Caenorhabditis elegans: one gene and its partners. The protein of the gene in region 1 interacts with the protein of each later gene in a pairwise test. Each region holds a gene or a part of one and is shown in the gene's direction. Other genes may lie near its edges. The genes, in order: wts-1, nspg-10, sdpn-1 and hsp-43.

Evidence for each region.
Region 2: the proteins of wts-1 (region 1) and nspg-10 interact in a two-hybrid assay, tested with the Caenorhabditis elegans proteins (one large-scale study listed by BioGRID).
Region 3: the proteins of wts-1 (region 1) and sdpn-1 interact in a two-hybrid assay, tested with the Caenorhabditis elegans proteins (one large-scale study listed by BioGRID).
Region 4: the proteins of wts-1 (region 1) and hsp-43 interact in a two-hybrid assay, tested with the Caenorhabditis elegans proteins (one large-scale study listed by BioGRID).

The regions. Positions count from the first base shown.
Region 1 is NC_003279.8:10,291,895-10,299,461, reverse strand, and holds the start of wts-1 (Serine/threonine-protein kinase WARTS homolog), read left to right. Parts: upstream 1-1,534; 5' UTR 1,535-1,615; coding exon 1,616-1,738; intron 1,739-2,702; coding exon 2,703-2,960; intron 2,961-3,341; coding exon 3,342-3,599; intron 3,600-4,114; coding exon 4,115-4,323; intron 4,324-4,381; coding exon 4,382-4,487; intron 4,488-4,533; coding exon 4,534-4,641; intron 4,642-4,885; coding exon 4,886-5,452; intron 5,453-5,735; coding exon 5,736-6,076; intron 6,077-6,230; coding exon 6,231-6,591; intron 6,592-6,640; coding exon 6,641-6,832; intron 6,833-7,119; coding exon 7,120-7,323; 3' UTR 7,324-7,383; coding exon of another isoform or gene 7,384-7,567. Other genes in the region: T20F10.2 (Si:ch211-1a19.3), read right to left, coding at 1-71, 118-187, 1,125-1,153. UniProt on the Caenorhabditis elegans protein: Phosphorylates yap-1 which may negatively regulate yap-1 nuclear localization. Plays an essential role in larval development.
Region 2 is NC_003282.8:4,603,764-4,608,720, forward strand, and holds nspg-10 (uncharacterized protein), read left to right. Parts: upstream 1-2,022; 5' UTR 2,023-2,126; coding exon 2,127-2,151; intron 2,152-2,203; coding exon 2,204-2,303; intron 2,304-3,069; coding exon 3,070-3,168; intron 3,169-3,217; coding exon 3,218-3,375; intron 3,376-3,426; coding exon 3,427-3,623; intron 3,624-3,670; coding exon 3,671-3,758; intron 3,759-4,138; coding exon 4,139-4,204; intron 4,205-4,259; coding exon 4,260-4,327; 3' UTR 4,328-4,454; downstream 4,455-4,957. Other genes in the region: F19C7.4 (Serine protease K12H4.7), read left to right, coding at 1-356, 583-691, 741-836, 881-992, 1,044-1,146, 1,204-1,550, 1,787-1,851; col-110 (Nematode cuticle collagen N-terminal domain-containing protein), read right to left, coding at 4,531-4,591, 4,707-4,957.
Region 3 is NC_003284.9:7,995,065-8,000,053, reverse strand, and holds the start of sdpn-1 (SH3 domain-containing protein), read left to right. Parts: upstream 1-1,958; coding exon 1,959-1,975; intron 1,976-4,989.
Region 4 is NC_003284.9:6,232,642-6,237,148, reverse strand, and holds hsp-43 (SHSP domain-containing protein), read left to right. Parts: upstream 1-1,605; 5' UTR 1,606-1,632; coding exon 1,633-1,758; intron 1,759-2,212; coding exon 2,213-2,287; intron 2,288-2,336; coding exon 2,337-2,923; intron 2,924-2,972; coding exon 2,973-3,079; intron 3,080-3,213; coding exon 3,214-3,288; intron 3,289-3,551; coding exon 3,552-3,641; intron 3,642-3,700; coding exon 3,701-3,822; 3' UTR 3,823-3,998; downstream 3,999-4,507. Other genes in the region: C14F11.4 (AIP3 domain-containing protein), read left to right, coding at 4,177-4,239, 4,452-4,507.

The DNA.
Region 1 (7,567 bases):
ACTTCTTCGTTTGTCTGGGATAAAACTTCTCCTTGAGCTTGATATACGTAGAATGCGTAAAAGAATAATACCTGCAAAAAGTGTATAATTTCATTGACTTCTTGTTAATTATATTACCAGGCAAATAAGAAATACAAAAAGGGGCCAATTCCTCATTGTAGTAGGACGATCCGAGTGTGAACTGCTCCTGAAAGAAAAAAAATTGAATATTTATTTAAACGTTGTCCTTCTATGTATCTATATGTTTGTTTAATGGTTACAAAAAAGGGAAAAGCCACGCGACATCTGCGGCGCACCGTTTCGTTTTTATGCAAACGGAAGACTGCGTGGATGTCATAGATACAAAAAGGAAAGAGACATCGATTTTTGATAGGCTGACGAATGCAAAAAAACGGAGATTAAAGGGGATTTGTAGTAGAATTAGAGGAAATGCATAGTTGTTTGATTTAAAAAATCATCAAAATTCATAAAAACACAGAAAACTGAGTCAATACAAGAAAATTCGAGTATCAAGCTTATGTCTACTGTTATTTTTTCAAAACTGCATTTTAAATAAGAAAAACTACAGAGTTGTGACTCTTTCAGTAGTAATATATAGAGTTATCATTCCAGTGAAAAAATTACAACTCCAATTTCCAGTTTTAACCTAAAATCACTTGAGTACGTATTTCTAATTCAATTACAAAAGCTGATGATGTACTATAGCACTTACTGGGTCTTATGCAAAATTACAGAAACAATTTGAAAACTTGGTTGAGAATTTAAGCCAGAGTAATTTTTTTGTCGGAAAATTCCAATATTCAGTATTTAAAATATAGATGTTGAAGGTAATATATATTCTCAAAAGTACGCAGGCACAGTCGACAGTAACAGGGGCGCCTGGAGTGCCTCTCCACTACCGGCGAGGGCAAGGAGCACCCCTTTTCTACAGATGTTAAAAATTTGTTTTAAATTCAGTAAAGCTGGTGAATTTTACAAATTGTGCACATTTTTGAATCCGGAAAATTTTCAACACTTCGAAGTTGTTCTCAAAATCGGCTTTCAATTCAAATTTTAAACAGGAAAACATCTTTAAAAATATTTGTTCAAACACAGAGTTTTATAAAAAGCTTCTAAAAACTTACCGTATGAGAGGCTTTCTGCTGGATGACATGACGGGGGGATACCGGCAAGTATGTCTTTTCGACGGGCGATGATGGCCGCTGATGATACGGCGAGAGGTTCCGAGACACAGGCGTCCTAAATGTGTTGGAAACTAAACGGCAGAAAATGAGCACTAGAAGGTTGGAGAGTCGGGGAGAGATGTTAGAGTGACGAGGGATGAGGAATGTTGGAAGAGACAACACGAGAGAATAAGACAAAGAGAGATGTCCTGCAAAAGAGAGTAAAGACTTTTCTCCTCTTCCTGCGGGAGTCAGAGAGAGAGCGGCGGGAAGCAAAGAGACCACATAACGATAAGAGACACAGAAAGTTTTGTATCACTGTCTCTCTCATCATTTCATTCTATCTCTTCACCTTCTTCTTCTTCTACTTCAATCCATTCCCATCGCCTTCTCCGTGTGTGTGTTTGTCAGTGTTCGGCAGGAGGCCCTCCTTTGCATTGTATTCCCCTGGAATGCGACCTGCTGCCCCTGGTACTACTCCAAATGGTGCATCTTCTGATATCAGACATCAACGTGGAGTTGCTCCGATCCCATTTGGCTCTACTAATTCAGCGATAGATGCCCATCACAATTCAGTAGGTTTTGGTTTGGAAAAGTGATTGGGTTATTGATTCAGATCTTGATCTGTTTGGCTTGATCACTCCCTAGATTTTCAGCTGAACCATGTGTCATTTGAAAGAGGACCTTTAAACTAGATCGTTGTAAATTTTAAGCGGCAAAGTGTCACGATCTGAAACTTTTTAGTGCTCTTTTCACAACTTTCGAGAGCTGTAGACTTGCTCCAAAAGCTATTTTTTGCAGACATGTTGTTTTTCAGTGATTAAGAGCAATTGAAAATTCTAGGAGTTTTAATAAAATTTTTAAAAATGTTCTCCCCCTAATCAACTCGATCAAAATGCTTTCAGATTTCCGTTTAAAAAATTATTTAACTTAAAAATTACCTCTAGCATTTTCGGACCAATTTTTTCTAGTTCAAAATGCTCTTCTGTTGCTAAATTTTTTGTGGGGTCCTATTCAAAAGGTCTTCTTTTAAATTATATTGGCTTTGCTATTGTTTGTAAATACATCTATAATCGCAAATCATTTTTTTTTGCAGTTCCATGTTTTTTTTTCCTGATTTGAATTTCAAAATCTGTTCAAGATTCGTAGAACTCATTAAAATTTAAAAAAAAATCCTCAAAATTACTTCACCCTTTCTTATTCAACACTTTGGCGTTCCGAGACAATGCGGGGCTTTCATGGCAGACGTTATCACTTGGAATGGCGGTTTTGATAAGAAAATGAAATCACCTAAAATTCCATTTAGAAGCATCACCTTTTAATAGTTTCGTAATCAATGAATCAGTATTTTTCATATGAAAAATATATAAATTGCTCAGAAAAATGTACAATTTCAGTGTTGAAACATTGAAAACTTCCATAGAAACGCAAAGTTTTTTGCTTTAAAGAAATCCTTTTTTTACAAAAATTCTAAAAAATTCGCATCTGGGCAGTGGTACCATAATTTGGCATAACTAATTAAACCAATTGTTTTTCCAGGAAATCCGCGTGGGGCGTCATCGTGCAAAACTCGACGAAATTCGCGAATCGCTGAAAGCTTACGAACATGAAGCCGGTTTATTATCAAGTCACGTGGCTCTTGGATCACTTGCAACACCGTCAAGTTCTTCCGTCAGCCATTCTGACATCACCAATGACAATGCGGAAGTGATGAATTTTTCGTCTTCTTCTTCAAATGCAGCAGCGACGACGACGACAGTCTCGAGCGCTGCTGTATCAAATTCGAATTCTTTTAGAGTGAGTCACATTTCTTTTTTTTTAATCAAAAATGGTCCTGGAAATCGAATGGAAAAACATTTTGAGAGTAAAAAATAAAATTCGATTGGCTGGGAAAATTGTCCGTCAAATTTTCCGTCTAGGTCAGTTCGTATGCCCAAAAAAAACATAACTTTTTTGAAATTTATACATAGACCGGCCGAAAGCGTCATATTTTTCTTCGAAAAAAAAAAGAATGGAATTGTAGCAAACTAGCTAGAAATTCTATTGAATAAAAAATTATGAAATAGGTGGCTCAGCTCAACTTTGGGATTTTATGAAAATTGTCAACTATGAATCGATTTATGATCTTCAAAAGTGGTGAAGGGTGGTGGTTCAAAAGTGAAAAAATCATATTTTCAGACAGAAGGTGGTGGTCACAAGATGCGGATAACACCAATGCCACAAAGACATTTAATGATGGATACTGGTGCCAATGAGACAGTATTTCGAAGTGGAAAAGAGATGATTCGAAATGGAAATCCATCAACAACTATATCATCAACACCTTCTACAACAACTGAAGAGTCGATTAGGATACATCCTGCTGGATATCGATATGATATGCCAACTCCTGCATATCATATGAATAACAATGCACCACAATACTCACCAGGATATGTAAGTTGTTCTCGAAAAAATATAATACTAAAGAATCGGAAAGTACTTTTTCTGAGAAGTCCCACTTAAAATTTTGTTTTAAAAAAATTGGTTTGCGGTGGTTCAGTTTTGAAAAAAGTCCAAATTGTCAATGCGATTATCACTTTTCATATTTTGGTCGTTCGTTCCATGTTTTTCTGTTGATTTGGCTACATTTTCGGTCACATATTTGATAATATTTAGTGCACCCGTAAACTGAAAAGGCACTTTAATCAACGGCGAGACACGTGTGAACAACTAAAATTAGTAACAAAATATACTTCCAAATTGACAAAGTTTGAAAGTTTAAGCTGAAAAGAAAATGGACCAAAACTTTCTTTGAAAAATACTCCTAGTTCAAGCAATAGGGGGACCTTCTTGTGACCTGTTCATAACTTCTGAAATTTTTTTTGTAAAATAAATTAAAGAGTCCAATAAAGTACACACAAACACCCCTAGTAGGCAGACCTGACACTTTAATAAATGAAAATTTTCAGTCTCGACCACCTCCACCAGCCTACGATTCATCTCCGGTGAACACTAGAATGACTCCAGTTGCAACAGACAACTACCGTACTCACCTGCATATGAAAGTTCATCCTGTTGTAAAAGCGCCACCACCGAATCCAACAATGCTCAATCACAACAAGAATATGGCACCCCCACCGCCTCCTCCAGCAAAATCTACGATTTCCATCGAGACAATGTAAGTTTTCTAAACGATATCAGAAGGATTCTATAAATCTTTTGCTTTAACTTTTCAGGAGTGAAGAACGAAAAGCAGATAATATCCAGAGACTTTATCATACATCAATGGACAAAAAAACAGCTAGTAGTGTTGTTAGTATCAATGTTGCTTCTCCTCATACGGTATTTTATGACCTCAAATGATATTAAAATTCATTTTTAATTTCAGACAAAAGTAAATGTTGGTGATAGTCCTCTTCCAAGCAAATCATTCATTATTGGTCCACGGTATACAGCTGATGTCGATAGGAAGAATTTTGTCAACTATAAAGATGAGGTAAATTTGAGAAAAATTCAACTCCTACCTTCTGAAATATTTAACTGATATTTCTAGAGTCATTTTTTTGACAGAGCTCATAAAATATAAGAGACTAAAAGTTTTGTCTTCGCAGACACCCATAATCAGCAAAAATTTGCAAAACTACTTTAGAATCGGTTTCGAGAGCCCAGTTGAATTTTATGAATAGAACAATAATTGTTATAAAGTTCGGGGATAAACCCTAAAAATAAAATGATTTCAGCTGCGTCCCGACCCTCGCCTGATTCCATCCACTTCCGATGCAAATCATGAAGATTTCCGGCCGATCCTTTTCAAACCAAGAAATCTCGAAATCACAATGAAATCACGTGCTCAACCTCCTCCTCCTCAATACAATCAACCCAGTGAGCCACCTCCGAAACGAGTCAGCTCCCCAATTGATCGAACACTTTTGGAACCATACATCAAGAATACACGAAGAGTTCAACCATGTAAACCAAATATGCTTCGATTTTATATGGAACAACATGTTGAACGACTTCTACAGCAATATAAAGAACGAGAAAAACGAATGAAACAGTTGGAAAAGGAGATGGTTTCAGCTCAATTACCGGATATTATGAGGAATAAAATGCTGGGATTACTTCAACAAAAAGAGTCAAAATATACGAGATTAAGAAGACAAAAGATGAGTAAAAGCCATTTCACTGTCATCTCACATATTGGTGTTGGAGCATTTGGAAAAGTTTCATTGGTTCGAAAAAATGATACTCGGAAGGTTTATGCAATGAAAAGTTTGGAAAAAGCGGATGTCATAATGAAACAACAGGTAGGATTTGTTATTTGTTTAGGATCTTGGTTTAAAAATTTGAAAATATTGGTGTCCTACGTTTGAAATAAAACCTTGAATAGAAAGTAAGAAAACTGCAAAGTCTAACATTTTTGATACTCTAGGTTTTTTTTTTTTAATTTAATTGATTCTATATTTGCTACTAGTAGGAAAATATATCAGATATATTGTGAGTCTAGTAGTTTTTAAAATGTGACTGTAAAGCGATATGATCGAAAAATAATTTCAAAACTTTTTGACTAAAAACACCATTTTCTTTCAGGCCGCCCATGTGAAAGCCGAACGCGATATTCTGGCAGAAGCTGATTCTCCTTGGATTGTTCGTCTTTTCTTCTCATTTCAAGATGATGCTTGTCTATACTTCATAATGGAATATGTTCCCGGAGGAGATATGATGACTTTATTGATTCAAAAAGGAATATTTGAAGAAGATCTCGCTAGATTCTACATTGCTGAACTGGCATGTGCAATTGAATATGTTCATAATGTTGGATTTATTCATAGAGATTTGAAACCGGATAATATTCTAATTGATCAACATGGACATATTAAGTTGACTGATTTTGGATTGTGCACTGGTTTGAGGTGGACTCATGACAGAAGGTAAGATTATGTATTGTTTATTTGTCACGAGAAAGAGAGGGTGTCTAATGGAATAGAGCCTAGGCGCGACGCAAATGATTAATTGTAGTTGGTGTGCTCAACATCTGTGCAAAAAATATTTAAGTCACACATGAAACCATCCAATATTTTCTAGATACTATGGACCTGAAAACGACCATCATCGTGTCGATTCATTCTCGCTTCCTCCTGAAGTTGCAGCTATTGATAAAAGCGTTAAAGTTCTAAATGTTCGACAACAAACCCGCCGGATAACCGCCCATTCTCTTGTTGGAACAGGAAATTACATGGCACCCGAAGTAATTGCCAAAACCGGGCACAATCAGAGTTGTGATTGGTGGTCGACTGGAGTGATTTTGTATGAGATGGTATTTGGAAGAGTGCCATTTCATGATGATACACCTGGTGGAACACAACATCGAATTAAGAATTGGAGAAACTTCCTTGATTTTACATATTGTGGAAATCTATCAAAAGAGTGCCTTATGATGATTCAAGTAAGTTTTTTTGTTTAAATAGACGTTGTGAAGACCAAAACTTTTTCAGCAACTAATTTGTGACGCGTCGTCAAGATTGGGATCTCACGGGAAGGATGTTGCCGAACGAACGGCACAAGTCAAAAATCATCCATGGTTCAGGGGAATTGACTGGGTTAACTTGAGAAAACTGAGAGCTGATTATATTTATATTCCTCGGGTCACTCACGATGAAGACACTTCTAATTTTGAAACGTTTCAAGTGAGTTTTTCCTTTTAAACTTTGTTTAGAGTGTCTAAAAAAGTTAGATATAATTTTATGTATGTAGACATAAAAAAGATAGCATCAAAATTATGAATATTTGAGTTTGAAATACAGAATTTTTATTTGAATTAAAGTAAATTAATTGTGGAGTTTCTGAAACTATTATACATAGCAGCTCCAATAAAAACATAATTGAGTTTCACTACTCAAATTTTTAACTTAAATTTGGAATCTTGAAAAGTTTTCTTTCAAAACCTATCACACTTCTAATTCCAAATTTCCAGGACAATGACCGTGCTGACAAGCCGAATGTGCGAGGTCTTCATAATCCAGCCTTCTATGAATTCACTTATCGTCATTTCTTTGATACGGATTCTGTTGGTTGCCCATCACTTCGACCATCTCGTCGTCGGTCACTTCGGCCATTACTTGAAAACGGAACTTTTAATGAGTCAGTGTCGGAAGAAGATTCATCGTCTCATATTTAAAAGAGCATGAATTTGTTTATTGATTATATTATATATGATTTTAATGTGATGTTTTAGTATCATTTTTTACTCATTTTGCTTCTATTTTTATCTTTAATTTTCCAAATTACCCTCTTTACTAATTCTGTGATGATCTCGATACGGTTTTCAGAATTCGAGATATTTTTAATATCTCTTTTCTTTTCTCTTTTTCTCTCATGTCGCCACACTATTTCGTTCGTTTTTTTTTTGCTCAAATGAATTT
Region 2 (4,957 bases), on another chromosome or scaffold:
ATGAAGCTTTTGACAATTGATCAGGCACTTGCTGATATTAAAGAGTTTATTACTCAAATAAATGCACTTTATTTCAAAGATGACAAACCAATTTGGGTGACATTCGGAGGATCATATCCTGGATCATTGTCTGCTTTCTTTAGAGAAACATATCCAGAAATGACTGCAGGAGCAGTATCATCTTCTTCTGCTGTTCATGTATTTGTAGATTATTATGGATATGCTATTAATACTGAAAAGACTTATAGAACTGTTAGTGACTCCTGTGGAGATGTTATCAAGGTTGCATTCCAAAAGCTTATCACTAAAGCATATAATGGATCGGATAGCCGTGCACTTCTTAAACAACAATTCAAGTGGGTTTCATAAATAAAATATGTACCTAGTTTTTGAGAAAAAATGATTTTAATTTTAATATCATTGAAATCTCTCAAAAATTTGAGATTCTTAGCTTTTGTCAGTTTTGGCAGGATTTAGTTTCTTCCAGAATTATTTTTTTCACAAAAAGGACATACCTTTTTGGGAAGTTCTGAAAATACTATCACGAGCTTAACCAATATGTCCTAAATCCAATTTTTCCAGTCTTTGTGACAGCTTCGACGAGACGAATCTATCAAAAGCCGTGCAATTTTTTTTCCAAAATGTCTATGGATACTTTCAGATAATCAATCAATATACCGGAGATAATAAGGTTCATTATGAACATCTCTTCATTACTTCAAAAAACAACACAATTTTAGAGCAATGCTACACGATCCGGATTGGGAGTTCCTGCAGCTTGTGATCTTCTAAACAACGCGACAATTGGAGATGAGGTCCAGAGAGTTATTGCTGTAGTAGGTGTACCTCTACTAGTAGTGCACCTAATTTTAACTTCCAGATGAATCTTTATGATTCCTGGTTTAAGCCATCAGCGTCTGGATGCCGACCAAATAATTACACAGCTTTTATTCAAGCCTATTCGGACACTACAATGCCCAATGAGAACGTCAGTGAGTTTCCGAGTATTGTAAAGGTACTGTAGAATCGAATTGAAATTCCAGTTGGCACTCGCAGTTGGATCTGGCAGACTTGCACGGAGCTCGGATATTATCAGACTACTGACGGAGGAAATGGTGGAATCTTTGGATCTACAGTTCCACTTGAGTAAGAACAAACAAAACGTTAAAGCCAGGTAGTACTGTATTTTGAAAATATTTTCAGTTTCTTCGCCGATCAATGCATTGATCTCTTTGGGCCGGAATACACCCTGGATAATACTTTCAAACTCGTAGATCAAGTTCGTACTAAATACGGAGGAGCTGGCACATATCGTGGAACCAATGTCGTTTTTCCAAACGGATCCTTCGATCCTTGGAATGGTCTTGGCTACAAATGGAATAACACGAATAATAATGTTGATGCTTGGTTGATCGAAGGAACATCTCATTGTGCTGATATGTATCCAGCAAGCGATTCGGATAAACAATCATTGAAAGATGCGAGAATCCGGATTCATGGTCATTTATCCAGGTGGCTATCAGATGCACAGGCTATTAGGCAGCATTCAGGTAGGTTCATTTAAGAATGCCTCTTATTCAAATGGGTCTTGCCACGAAAAAATTGTATGTTAATAAGAATTATTCAGTTAAGAAAACATTAATCAAGTTTTTTTATTGATAAAATCACAGAAATTCCCACTTTTTCCTCGCGGCAATACCTTTTTTTCAATAAATACGTGGGCCTTTAAGTACGCAGATAACTGCAAACTCAAGATACTACACTTTCAATATTTATAGTTTTTCAGGTTCCACTACAAACTTCTCAATCTTCACCGCCATCTCCATTGTAATTTTCAGCATCCTATTCTAACTTTCAAAATATTATTTTTCAAATTTTATTCTAGAAATAATAAAAGTCCAATTTTGATTACATTTGCAAAATGACGTTGTGTGAACACACCCTGAAATTGCGTTTTCACCTCGCTAATAAGATGAAAGTGGTTGGAAGGGAGGAGTGCCTAATAAAATGAGTTGGATAGTGATAGGGAGCAGGCAAATATTCGCCGACGACGGTTTGCCGTCGTTATCAATCCCCGAGACGACTTTTTCAATTTGCCAGCCCTGCGTCACCATCACCTTTTCGGCATGAAGTTTGCCATCGTTTTTGCTGGTACGTAGATTTTATCGAACAAAGGTTTAAAAATAACTTTGGAGATTTTCAGCTCTTTACGGAGCCGCTGTTGCTCAATTCGGAACTGACAACTGTGTGAGCGCACAGTTTCAGGCTTGTAATAGCAAGTTAGGAGATTTTTGGAGAACTGAGTAAGTTTTACAAACGAAATTGTGACTAATTTTTTGAAAATCATGTGGTGTCAGAGTGTCTCATTTCACCTTGATCTACGTAGATCTACAAAACATGCGGGAGAAGAGACGCAAAGTTCTCAACTTATTTCGCATGGTTGAGAACGTGCTGAGGTCGCATTTTTTGTGCAAAAAATTCCCGTTTTTTTGTAGATCAAACCGTAATGGGACAGCTTGGCACTGCGAAAAAATTGCCGGGTGGAGTCGGTGAACACATATTTTTGAAAAGTATGCAAACACCGCCGCACAATTAAAACAAAATTTACATTTTAAAGTATAATTGATAATTTAAAAATTGTATTTCTATAGAAAATTGAAATTACCATAGACCGACATTTTAAGCTTTTCTACTTACTTTTTCAAATTTTTCACACATTTTTGCATTTAACTCTATGAACAATTTTTTGCTCTTATATACATAGTTATATACATAATAATTTGATCTTAATGTTAATTTTCTCAATCTTATGATGATATTAATATTCAAATTCCAATTGAGTAAAACTTCCACATATAAAATTTGCAAATCTAATGCGATTATGTTCTGATAAGGTCAGTAGCAACAGAACACACCTAGTATAGATATCAATACCTATAATGTGATCCGAGTAGTTCTAGAAGTAGATAAACACTATTATTTTCAGTCTACAAGTATTGATTTTAAAACTAGATACCTGAAATTGACCTTTAAATTGTTTTCACCCCGTCATTCAGAACATATTTTCAGCACCACCTCTGCCTGGAAGGACTTGGCGAGCTTGGACAGAATCACCCAGTCTCTCATCGTCTCCCCATATGTCATTGACTCATGGGTCAATGTTTGCAAGTAAGCCTTTCTTTTTAAAATCTTTAACTTTTCAATTCCGAAATTCCAGCGGTTACGCTGCCTTTTACGGATGCCTTGGACAAGCTCAAATCCGCAATTGCCTCGGAACCGTCGGACTCGTCGGATCTGGACTCGATCTTAACACCGCCTACGCTTACCAAGGATTCTTGGCCGACTGGGATTTCAAGTGTGGAGCCGGATTCTGGAGTAAGCGCCATTGATCTTTTAGCAGATTTTCAAATTTCGAACATTCTTCAGCTATGTACGAGCGTAAGACCCTGACCACTTGCGTCGAGAGCACCTACGTCAACTACCAACAAGAGACATCTGCCGCTATGAATACCTACATGACTGCCACCGCTCAAGACCCAAATGGTGCTTGCAAGTATGCTCAGAATCTCATGAACGCGTGGCAGAACACCTACACCAAGGGACCATGCCGTACAGTTATGCCAGTAAGTCTTAGCAATTGCTGAGCTAGAGAGAAAAAAGCTTTGTTCAGGCTCAAGCCGGATGGTTCGGATGCCAATCGGCTCGTGAATGGTCTAATGCTCAATTCAGACACTGCAAGCATACTACACAATGTGCATGTAAGTTTGAAAAAGTTTGCCTGCCCCAAGGCGACCTAGGATGGTCTGCAAGAGGGCCTAGACCTATCAGCATTGCTACTGATTGTGAGACTTGCATGCAATTGTATTCCTATTCACAAGGTTTCCTACAAGGTCACCTATGTCTGCCTACATGATTGCCTCTTGTTTTCTACAAGAATACCTAGGTTTGCCTAAGTTTACCTAGACAAACCTACAAGGTAATCTAGGCCTATCAACACGGTGACCTAGACCAGCCTACAATTTCACCTAGGTCTACCTACAAAGTTACCTCGGCATACTTACAAAGTTGCCTAAGCACGAGGCGGCCAAGTAGGCAAAATTAAACACCTACCTACCATACAAAACTTCAATATTTCCAGCTCCAACTTCCAACGAGGCTGTGACCAGATTCAACACTGAAACCGGAAAGGTTGAATATGAGACTCGTGAGTTTTATTTTTATTTTTCAGTTTTTTTTATCCCAAGTTCCAAAATTTCTAGTCCCTACCTACCAAATCGTCGACAATAAGGCCGTCGTCCTGAATGAGGCCTCCTGGATTTCCGAGTAATTTTGATTTTTTAATTTTTGAAATAATTATAATTTTCTTTCATTCCTTTTACCTGTCTATCATGAACTTTTTTGGGTTGAATCACACATACACAATCAGTCTGATAAAGTAAACCAATAACTATTTATTGCACTTCACGTTTCACTAAAAAGCACCTTTCAAAGCAAATAAGAGAGACCGACAGAGAAATTGAGAAAAATCAGTTAAGTTCTGCGGCGGCGGGATCCGCTGTCAAAGAAGACTCCTCCGTCGATGGCACAGTACCTGGAATTTTTCGTGTAAATTTATCATTTCTGCAGGCCTAGGTAATCATGCAGGCATTCCTAGGTAACCTTGAAATCAGGTCAAGGTAATCATGTAGGCCGGCCTACCAACTTACTTTGGGCAGATCCCCTCCTCTCCCGGTCTTCCTTGAATTCCAGCTTCTCCGAGATCTCCATCATTTCCATTTTCTCCATCCACTCCATCTTTTCCTGGTGGTCCCGGTGGTCCAACTTGTCCTGGTTTACCATCTCTTCCATCATTTCCAGGTTGTCCGGCTTCTCCTGATTGTCCCTCATCTCCATCATCCCCAGGTGGTCCAACATCGGAAGTATCAACCTCCCCAGGTTCTCCATCAGCTCCGTCTTC
Region 3 (4,989 bases), on another chromosome or scaffold:
AAAAAAAACGTTCAAGTTCAATCAAAAACCCTATTTTTCATTGCCAGAAAACATTTCAAGAACTATTTCTAATATCTAGTTTTTCCTCCAGTTTTTTTTTCAGTTTGAAACCAACTTTCAATTTTAAATTGGTCGATGGAAGTCTGAAGATGGTAACTACTCACCCAAAAAACCTAAATCGTCACACCATTACAATCGTTTAGCAGACGCCTTCTTTCAGATGTTATCTCGAAAAAAAAGACTAGTACAGTACAAATGGGAAAAAGAGAATCTTCAGATTTTCAGGAGTGCGTTCTTTAACCTATTATCTAATTAAATTTCTGTGAAAGTTGATCAACATAAAAACCAAACAATCTGAGTTTGCTCAGGTTTTTTGCTTTTTCTGCTGTAATACAAATATTTATGCTGACACAACTCATGATGAATCACGAAAAAATTGTCTTTACATTGCAGATTAGGCACTTCCTTCAAAATAAACTGGCTAAAAACTACAATTCCAGTTTAAGATACGAATTTCAAAAAAAAAAGTGCAGAAAGTATTATAAACAAAATTCCATTCAGCAAAGAAAACGCTTGCATGTTGCGGCGTTGTTAAACAAAAATATTAGGATAAGTTCTTTACAAAGTATCATTTTTCAAATGCAGTCAAATTTGCCAGATCACCTAAATGTTTTCTCACTTGATTATATATTCCCTTGCCCAACACCACCGCATTGTATTGTTCTATTGAACCTTCTTAGATGATCAATTGTTCATCGGAACGTGTTGATCTTCAGTTGTACCAACTGTAATCCGTACCAACGTGCAAACGCTGATCCCATGTAAAAACAGTTACCTCGTGCTTATGACCGTTCTCTTTGTTTCTGTCACTCTTTTCTGCCGAAAACGTGGAGAGGGTGTTGCGTTCTTTTCGAAAGAGCTCGTCATGCTCCAGCACATAAACTGCTCTTGAGCTCATATTTATACAGTCGTGCTCTTTCACTCCACTCTCCTATATCTCTGCGTCTTATTATTGTCCTTCACCCTCTATCCGTCCATCATTATCGTCATCATCATCATCACCCATGTTTTCGTCTTCTATAATTGCCTGCTACCTATGTCCTCGGGGGGGGGGGGGGGGGGGTGAAGGAAAAAGGAAGCAAAGTCATTGGCATCTCAGCTGCCAAGTGGTAACAAAGTGAGGATAGGAATTCAATCCAGCATATTGAAAATGTCTAGTTTTCACCTCTTTTTGCATCTTTTTTTTCTTACCGTTCGCCCTCTTCCAATGCCATCGCCATGTATCGTGTTTCCGTGAGTAGTCTGCGTTTCACAATTACTCATCCGTCACAAAAAAGGCATTCGCGTTTCCACCTGGAAGCTCTTAGATACTTCAAACACTTTGCTTCCGAAAACCATTGACTTTCACTTCACTTTCCTTTCATTGAAACTATCAAAAGTGAATTACGAATAATAAGGAGAGTACCATTTGATTGTGCTGGATATCCTCCTAAGTCTTGATCTTGCTGAAAGTGATTCACAGATAGAAAGTGGCTTGAAATTTCTATGAATACTTCTAATATATGTTTAACGCTGTGCAACTTTGAGACTTTTCTTAGGAACCGTTAATTTTTATGTTTTCTAAATTTAATTTATTTTAAAACAATGTTTCCAGCAAACTCAAAACTATCAGTACTTTCAAAACTCCTCCCTTTTAAAGCTATTTTTCCAATTCTCTGTATTTTTTTTTAAAGTCCATGTATATTTGTTAGTTGAACAACCGCTCAAACAATATTGCCCCACACCTTTGAGTTTGCCCGCCAACACACACTTTCTCACTCGCCTAATCAGTTATTGACAGTGTACATTTAAAGACTTTTTGATCACGTTTCTCACTCTTTCCCAACTATTTTCTCTTGACTTCCCGTGTTCTGTTGCTCCATTCGTCTATTTCACTCGAATCGTCGATCTATTAAAACATGAGCTGTTTACCATGGTGAGTAGATTTTGCCTGTTAATGTTTCTGTTAATCAAAAATATTAATTGTGTTTTTACTTTCAATAAGTATCCGAATAATATTGAATTTTTAATCAAACACATACGTTTTTTTTCACAAGAAATCTATCATAAAAAAATGTTTCGAGTAAACCTACCTAAAAGCAAGGGTGAAGATTTTCGAAATTCCCCATATACATAGTTGACTGTCAGAATTTTCGGCAGTTTTCAACCTCAGTCATATTTCAAACAGTTTAACATTTAACCTTGACATAATTGTTCATTTTTAAAGTTCCGTCAAATACCTATCAATTCAAGACACATCAAGCTTGAAAAGCGAATATTTTACTACAAAATACGTTTATACGTTTTGAAATCTCCAGAAATGTTCAGACATTGCTGTTTTAAAATCTTTTCGCCAATTGACAAAACTTCGATTGCCGCATTTGTAATTGTCAGAAATATCTCACCTCGAAAATTACCTATGTCTATTAAAAAAAACAACCAAGTAAGATGCTACTCAAGGCAAGTTACGAATGTTTTAAAAGCCCTCAGAATTTGCAATTTTTTGCTTGCAAGCTTAAGTTTACAGCAGTACTAGTTTGTAATTTTTCTTCCTATAGACTCTTCCTATGATGTTTTTAACTTTTTTTTTCGACTTGTTCATCAACCTGACTACATTTTAATTGATGCAATTCCATATCAATCATGAAAAAACAAGTATTAACGGATCATCTTGTTGCTTAGGATAATATCAACAGGCAAGAAAGCAAACTAACATAATAAACCATCGAATCTGTGCACCAGCTGGCAGTTCACCTCTCATCACGGTGTAGCTATTTCGCCTACGTCTCGTACTCTCTAACCATTTCCACCACCCATTTCTCCACCATCACCATTCAACATTTTCAAACCATGCCCCGCTACTTGGCGCCTATTGATTTATGATACTCGTTTATGTTCCATTTTGAAATTTCTCATTTTCATTTGAAAACATGTTAGATATGTGACTCACTAGCAATGCCTGTTTGAGCCGCACGTGTTTTGCAAATTAGGCAAACGAACCACTAAGAATACATAAGAAGCGAATATCCTTTACATGTCCACTTGGCATCCCTTCGCTCAATCAACTTCTATTCATTTCTTGTTTCTAAGTCCTTCCGAACGGAGTAGTACTCACAATTAAGGTAATCACAACCCTGTTATCCACTATTGTCGTATGTGTTTCTATTTTGAGATTTTTCCCACAGAAATGAATAGCTTTACAAAGTTGCTAATTAGAAGTAAGTAATTTGAGTCGTGTTTTATGCGATTAACATCATATTTCGAGAAGTACGCGAAAATTTATATATTTGTTTAGTTTGAAACTACACGTAATTTTTGTTTTTGAAAGTTGTGTTTCGTTCTTGTTTAAAAAAAGTGTTATATCTATAAAAATTAGATTTTAGTTTTTAATTTTTAAATTGAAAATTTTTAAGACTCCCTATTCCTTGTAAAAATGTTAAGGAAAAAAGCGTTTTTTTTCACAAATTCATATTTATACATTTTTTTGAGAATTAGTCGTTGTCAGAATTTTAAATTATAGTTTTTTTCTTTTTTTTTTTAAATATCTGTTGTAGATTTTTTGCATTTTATTTCCCTAAGAACTTAATCCTCCTTACACCGTACATAGCCAAAAACCAGCAAGTCCTAATTAATCATTCTCAAAGCTGAGAAATTAAAATTTTAAAAACTATATTTCGCCAGTAATTTTTATGAAAAAAGCCATGAATGCATGTTTGAAACGCTTTGAGTTTAAAACGGGAACATTTTTTGATAAAACATTGCTTCAAAATCCGTAGATCTTCAAAAACCACTTTTTTTGTTGGAAATTTTTACTTTTAGGAATTCTCGTTAACCCTGAACAGTGTTTTCTTTTATTGTTCACAGTCATCATGTAGACTGTTCGAATTTAAAGTTAGCTCAATGTTTTAAATGACACTAATAATAACTTGTTTTGTTTACAAAAAAATGTTATATTTACAAGAAAAAAAACAAACAACATTGACTACGTTCCAACTGCCCAACTCCTGATAATGATGTCACTGTCACCAGAATTCCCATAATAATTCATATCAGTACTCTCTTCCTGGCGGGGCACTTTTATCTTCCCTGGAACCTTGAAAACCGGTTAATTTCATTTAAATCATTCATTTCGGTTGGATTAGATGAAGCTTCCTCTTTTTCTTCTGCTTAAGGAGTGAAACAGAATCCCATACGACTTTTTCATCGTTTCTTCATCACATCCACCTTCTGTTTCACTGTTAGTCTCACCTCACCTTCTCCACTTCTCACACCTTTTTACGATGTTCTATTAGAACATTGTGTATGCGATTGAGTGAGTGTGTATCTGTATATGTATGACCTATGCAAATTCTTTATCCGTTCGCAAAATCTGCGTTTATTAATACAGCGTGCACTTTTTCAAGAAAGTAACCGAAGAAATTGACGAAAAAGGAGAGATCGGGCTGCCTATTTCGAGGACAACACATTCCTTCCATATTCTTCCGTAAAATGTTCAGACACTGGTCCCCTTCTAACTAAAACTAGGTCTTCATATCTATCAAATAAGTTGCGTTAGAATGGAATCTGATTCTGGTCGCTTTAACTTGTACATATTTTCCGATAGTGTTGGTCTTTCAAGTGTATGCCATTAGTAACTTGTTAGGCAATCTTCTAGGACATTGGTCAAAAAGTCCGTTGTTCAATTACGTTAAGCAACGGATGAATACATGTTTTTGTTTTTATTCGGTTTTCACTCACTCTTTTCACCAATCAGCTGTCAAGGTTTCATATTCCTGTATGGAATTTTGAATTCAAATTTTGATTCCCTGTTTTTCAAAATCAAAACAAATACTTTTTTTCAAATTTCGCCATAGGGTGCTATACTTAATTTTGTGTTCTAGAATTGTATTCTTGTAAAAATAACAAATATTTCCCGTATGTCAAAACTGTCTCACTACATTATATTTTTGT
Region 4 (4,507 bases), on another chromosome or scaffold:
TTTTTATGCATAAATTATTAATAACATTTAAATTTGTGGAAATTAAAAATTGGTTGGAACTAGCAATTCTCAAAATCATTTTTAAAATCATGAAATTCCTAAGCTTTCCGCGAAAAAACCTCAAACCATTTTTTACCCAAAATTAGTCATAACCAACAGTATTTGAATTTTTCACCCTTACTATTTCCTTCATAACTGTGTATTTTACTCACGCACAGGCAAACACTACTCTGAAAAGCAAACTGAACTCACACAACCGCCGTCACCACCCAGTTTTGGACAAATTTAGGTTTCAATTACAGTATTGGTTTAGCAAAAACCACGGAAAATGCGTCGAATGGATTAAAATTGCTTTTTCCCCGTTTTTTCTCCCAAAATCAAGCGTGGGCTGAGTGACAGAAAAATTATTCAGAATTTTTTAGAGTGCAGTGCGGAAATGATTTATGGTGCTTCAAAAAGAATTATAGGCAGAATGATTGAAAAATAGGAAAAAGTCAATTTTCGTTTCTCACAGAACAAACTATGAATGGATATTCAATCTCAACCAATTTTTTTGCAGTAAACGCAGTCAACCAGTTTCAAAAATTCCTCTAATGCGAAAAAATGTAATGTATTTCAATATCGTTTATGACAACACATAGAATGACTGTTCAGAGCGTTCCAAAAAAACTTCTGTAGGCGTTGTTCTATTAGACAAATGAGACCAAAAATGGTTCATAAAAAGCCGGTTTCGAAATATTTTCGAAATAATTGCAAAACTGTTGGAATAGTCCAGAAAGGGCGTATTCCAATCCATGTGATCACCCTATCCCTTTTTTCTTGTCGTCGTTCCTCCACTGATTAAATATCACATTGATCATCATCGTCCAACGTGAAGAAAAGGCGGGAGCGACAAAATGGAACTGCCTATGCCTCTCTCTGTCAATTGGTTCTGACTCATCTGAAATAGGGTAACTTTGACCGGCGGCCAACGCCCTTCTCTTTTCAAAATGGGTATATAACAACGCCAATGTCAATCGAATATTCAGAGCACACGACTCAGCTGTCATATTTTTTTGAGAAAAAGTGTTTTTATCTGAAATTTTCAATTTTCCGTTTTCAAACTTAAGTGACCCCTTCCGGTGAACTTTTTTGCCAACCGTCTTTGATGATTTCCATTCCGACCTCCGGTGCCCCCAAAATAACAGTGTTGACAGAGAAACACAGTCAACATTGGCAGACCTCCTTTTGATTGCGCCCCTCTTTTCGCATTCTAACTCTGTTCACGTGGTATTTACCAAAAAAGTCGTCGGTGGGGTCGGCGAAGATTCGAGACGAAGGTGAGAGCGGTTAAAACCACGCCCAAAACTCTCCAACCTTTCCATGCAAGACAGAACTTATAAAAGCTTGCAAGATTTGTGTTCCGGCTTTTAGAGGTTTTCACTTTTTGTTCACCGATTCTTAACTTCCATTAAAAATTAAAACTATGATAGCGCACATTGTGTGACATTGTGTTTTGGAACAAAGGTTAATAGTTATTAGGTTTTATGTTAAACTGTGTGTTTTTGTACTTCATCGTTTCATTGCTGCCGTTCCCCATAACCGGAATAACAATTATTATTTTACAGAAGTACCACACCCCCAGTTCAAAAAATGACTCTTGCAACCCGTCATGCCGATTTCACTCGTGACAAACTCTGGAAAGAGAACGACCTGTGGCTCGACGATTTCCGTGATTGGCCTCTTGATTGGCCAAAACCAAGGGACTTTTTCCACCGGGTATCCAATTCATTGGGGGCGGCTTATTAGTTTCCGATAGTCAATTGTTAGAAATAGGCATAGGGGGCTATTCATCCGCGACCTACCTCTACACGCTCTTCACTCTGGCTACTATTATATTTTGCCAGGCGTTTTACTGTTCAAATCCGGTCGTCGTCGTTGGTCTACTTGACAGCCCTACTCGAATTTACGTACATATACACCATTAAGAGAGTCAAATCTCACTGCTTTCCCCTTCTTGGTTTATTTGTTCCATGCCAACTGAAATTTGGCAGTTTTCACCAGTTTCCCCTAAATTTTCCTCAAATTCGAATGCTCTCTCCTTTTCAATCTGAACAAACATTTTGTTTTTTTTATCATTTGAAAAAAAAGTGAAAAGAGAGGAAATCGGCAGCCAATTTCTCCATCGATGAATCAGAATATTTTGTGAATCATTTTTTTTTTTGCATTTCAGTTCTCCCGTGACGTCGACAGTTGGTGGAAGGATTGGCCAACCGATTGGCCCCGTATGGACGCCGTCATGCCAAGAGTAATAATTCAAATCGCATGAACAGAAACACATCGAAACTTTTTTGCAGTTTTCCAGTCAACTTGATCGCATGGATCGCAACTGGAGGAGTGATCCATACTGGATGAATCTCTACCCAAGATGGGCTGAGCCAATCTTCAAGGAGGGAATTGACGTAAACTCCAATGTGGTTAATGATGATCGTAGATTTGCCGTTGACATGGATTGCTATCAATTCCGTCCTGAAGAAATTCAAGTGAAAACTCTTGATGATACTCTGATGATTGAGGGAAGACATGAGGATATTCGTGATAAAGATAACTTCACCAAAATGTACTTTGTCAGAAAGTACCAACTTCCAAGAGACGTAGACTTCAACTCGATTCAAAGTAGTATTGATGCCAAAGGACGTCTTCAAGTTGAGGCTGGAAAATTCAACAACATGGCATTGCAAGGTCGCGAGCGTATGATCCCAATCGAAGGAGCCGGGCACCATTCACCAAGATTTGAAAATGGAACACTCCGTTCGCAACGAGGACCAAACTCGCCAATTCATGTCCAGACTGAGCACGACGGGAGGAGCGTGTCTAGCAGAAGTGGATCGCGATTGAATGATAGTCCAGGATCGAGAGACGTGTATTCTTCTCATTCTTACAGGTAATCCTACAGATAATGATAGTGAGTATCTGAAAATAAAAATTTTCAGCTACCACCGCAGCGACTCTCGCAATCGTCTCTCCCCAAATGATGTTAACATCACTAGAAATGACAACCGAACATATAGCCCAGTCACTCCTCGTATCACAACAAGTGGTAAGTTTTTGAAAATACATAGTTAATTCAAATTTTCCAACTTTCCAAAACACTGCTTTCTGTCGTGTTCTCTTTCCACATTTCATTTTTCTTTCTATTTCTCTTTTCTATCTAGATCCCATAATTACCTTCAGAGCGGACAGTAACACCGGAACAGCGGTCGCCGGGTCGAAAAGCGTTCGAAACCATTCGAAACAATTTTGAGCGAGGTCATTTTTGCAATTTCGCACATCGCGTTTCTCTTTTTTAGTTAATTTACACACATTTCACACGAATTACTTCCCACTTCCCTCATCACAATTAGAGTAAACTTCCAACAGTTTACTGACAATACTTTGGATTTTCTCATCAATCACAAATTAACTACAACATTAACATGTTGCGCCTTTGGTCAAAAATGATCGTTAATGACACATTATTTGTTGAAAACTTGGATTTTGAAAATTCGAAAGTTTTAAAATTGGAATTTTAGGGTCATATAATACTGCTGGAAATGCAAATCTTCACGAGGAGCGTTCAAGCTCTCGCGCTCAGTCTCATCGCTCAGAAAGTCGCAATGGAGGTGAGTTTTCGCTATACATTGAGGGTTCTTCAATCAACTGAAGTGGTAAAATTTTTCAGGATACCGGGTCGAGTCACCAGTGAGCACTACAACTGGAATTCTTCGTAATGGAAACTCGGACTCACCAAACTCAACTCAACGCGAGTACCGATCAATTCAAATTCTCCGCAAGACATATTAATTGGACCAAAAACCTTATGCTTTTACTCATACCCGTTCTCCTTCAAAACTTCACAAAATTCTGCCTACAGCTTTTAAAACAAAACAATATATTTTCTGATGCTTCCATATACTCTATTCACAGCTTTTCCACTTTCAAATGTACACCTACTATTATACATAAACATTTATGCTTTTTGTTTACTAATTTTTAGTACGATTTTGTTGGTTTCAAATCTAGAACTTGAGGTGAGAAAAATATGATGATATAGAAAAGATGAAAAGAAAAATGATGGAGCCACAAAAAAAAACAACAAAATACAATCATTTCTCACTTTGATAATACAATCCATTCGACGCTTCTTTTCTATCGATCATGTCCCGTTATCCACCGCTGGTCACCAAAAAAGAAATCATCTACCGGCGTTTTATTGATGATGTGAGTTTAGTCTTAAAAACTAAAGAAGTTATTATTAAAATCGAATTAAAAACAACGATAATTTTCAGATATATATATATATATATATATATATATATTTAAAATGCAATTTAGAATAATAACTTTTTGATAATTGATTGCAAAAATTAAATTTTGACGAAAATTCTAAAACTCCAGTTATTCAAAGTACCAGAAACAATTTTTATTTGTAGCATAATGAACGTTTCGACAATATCGTGAGAAACCCTACATCATATCCTCCAAGAGC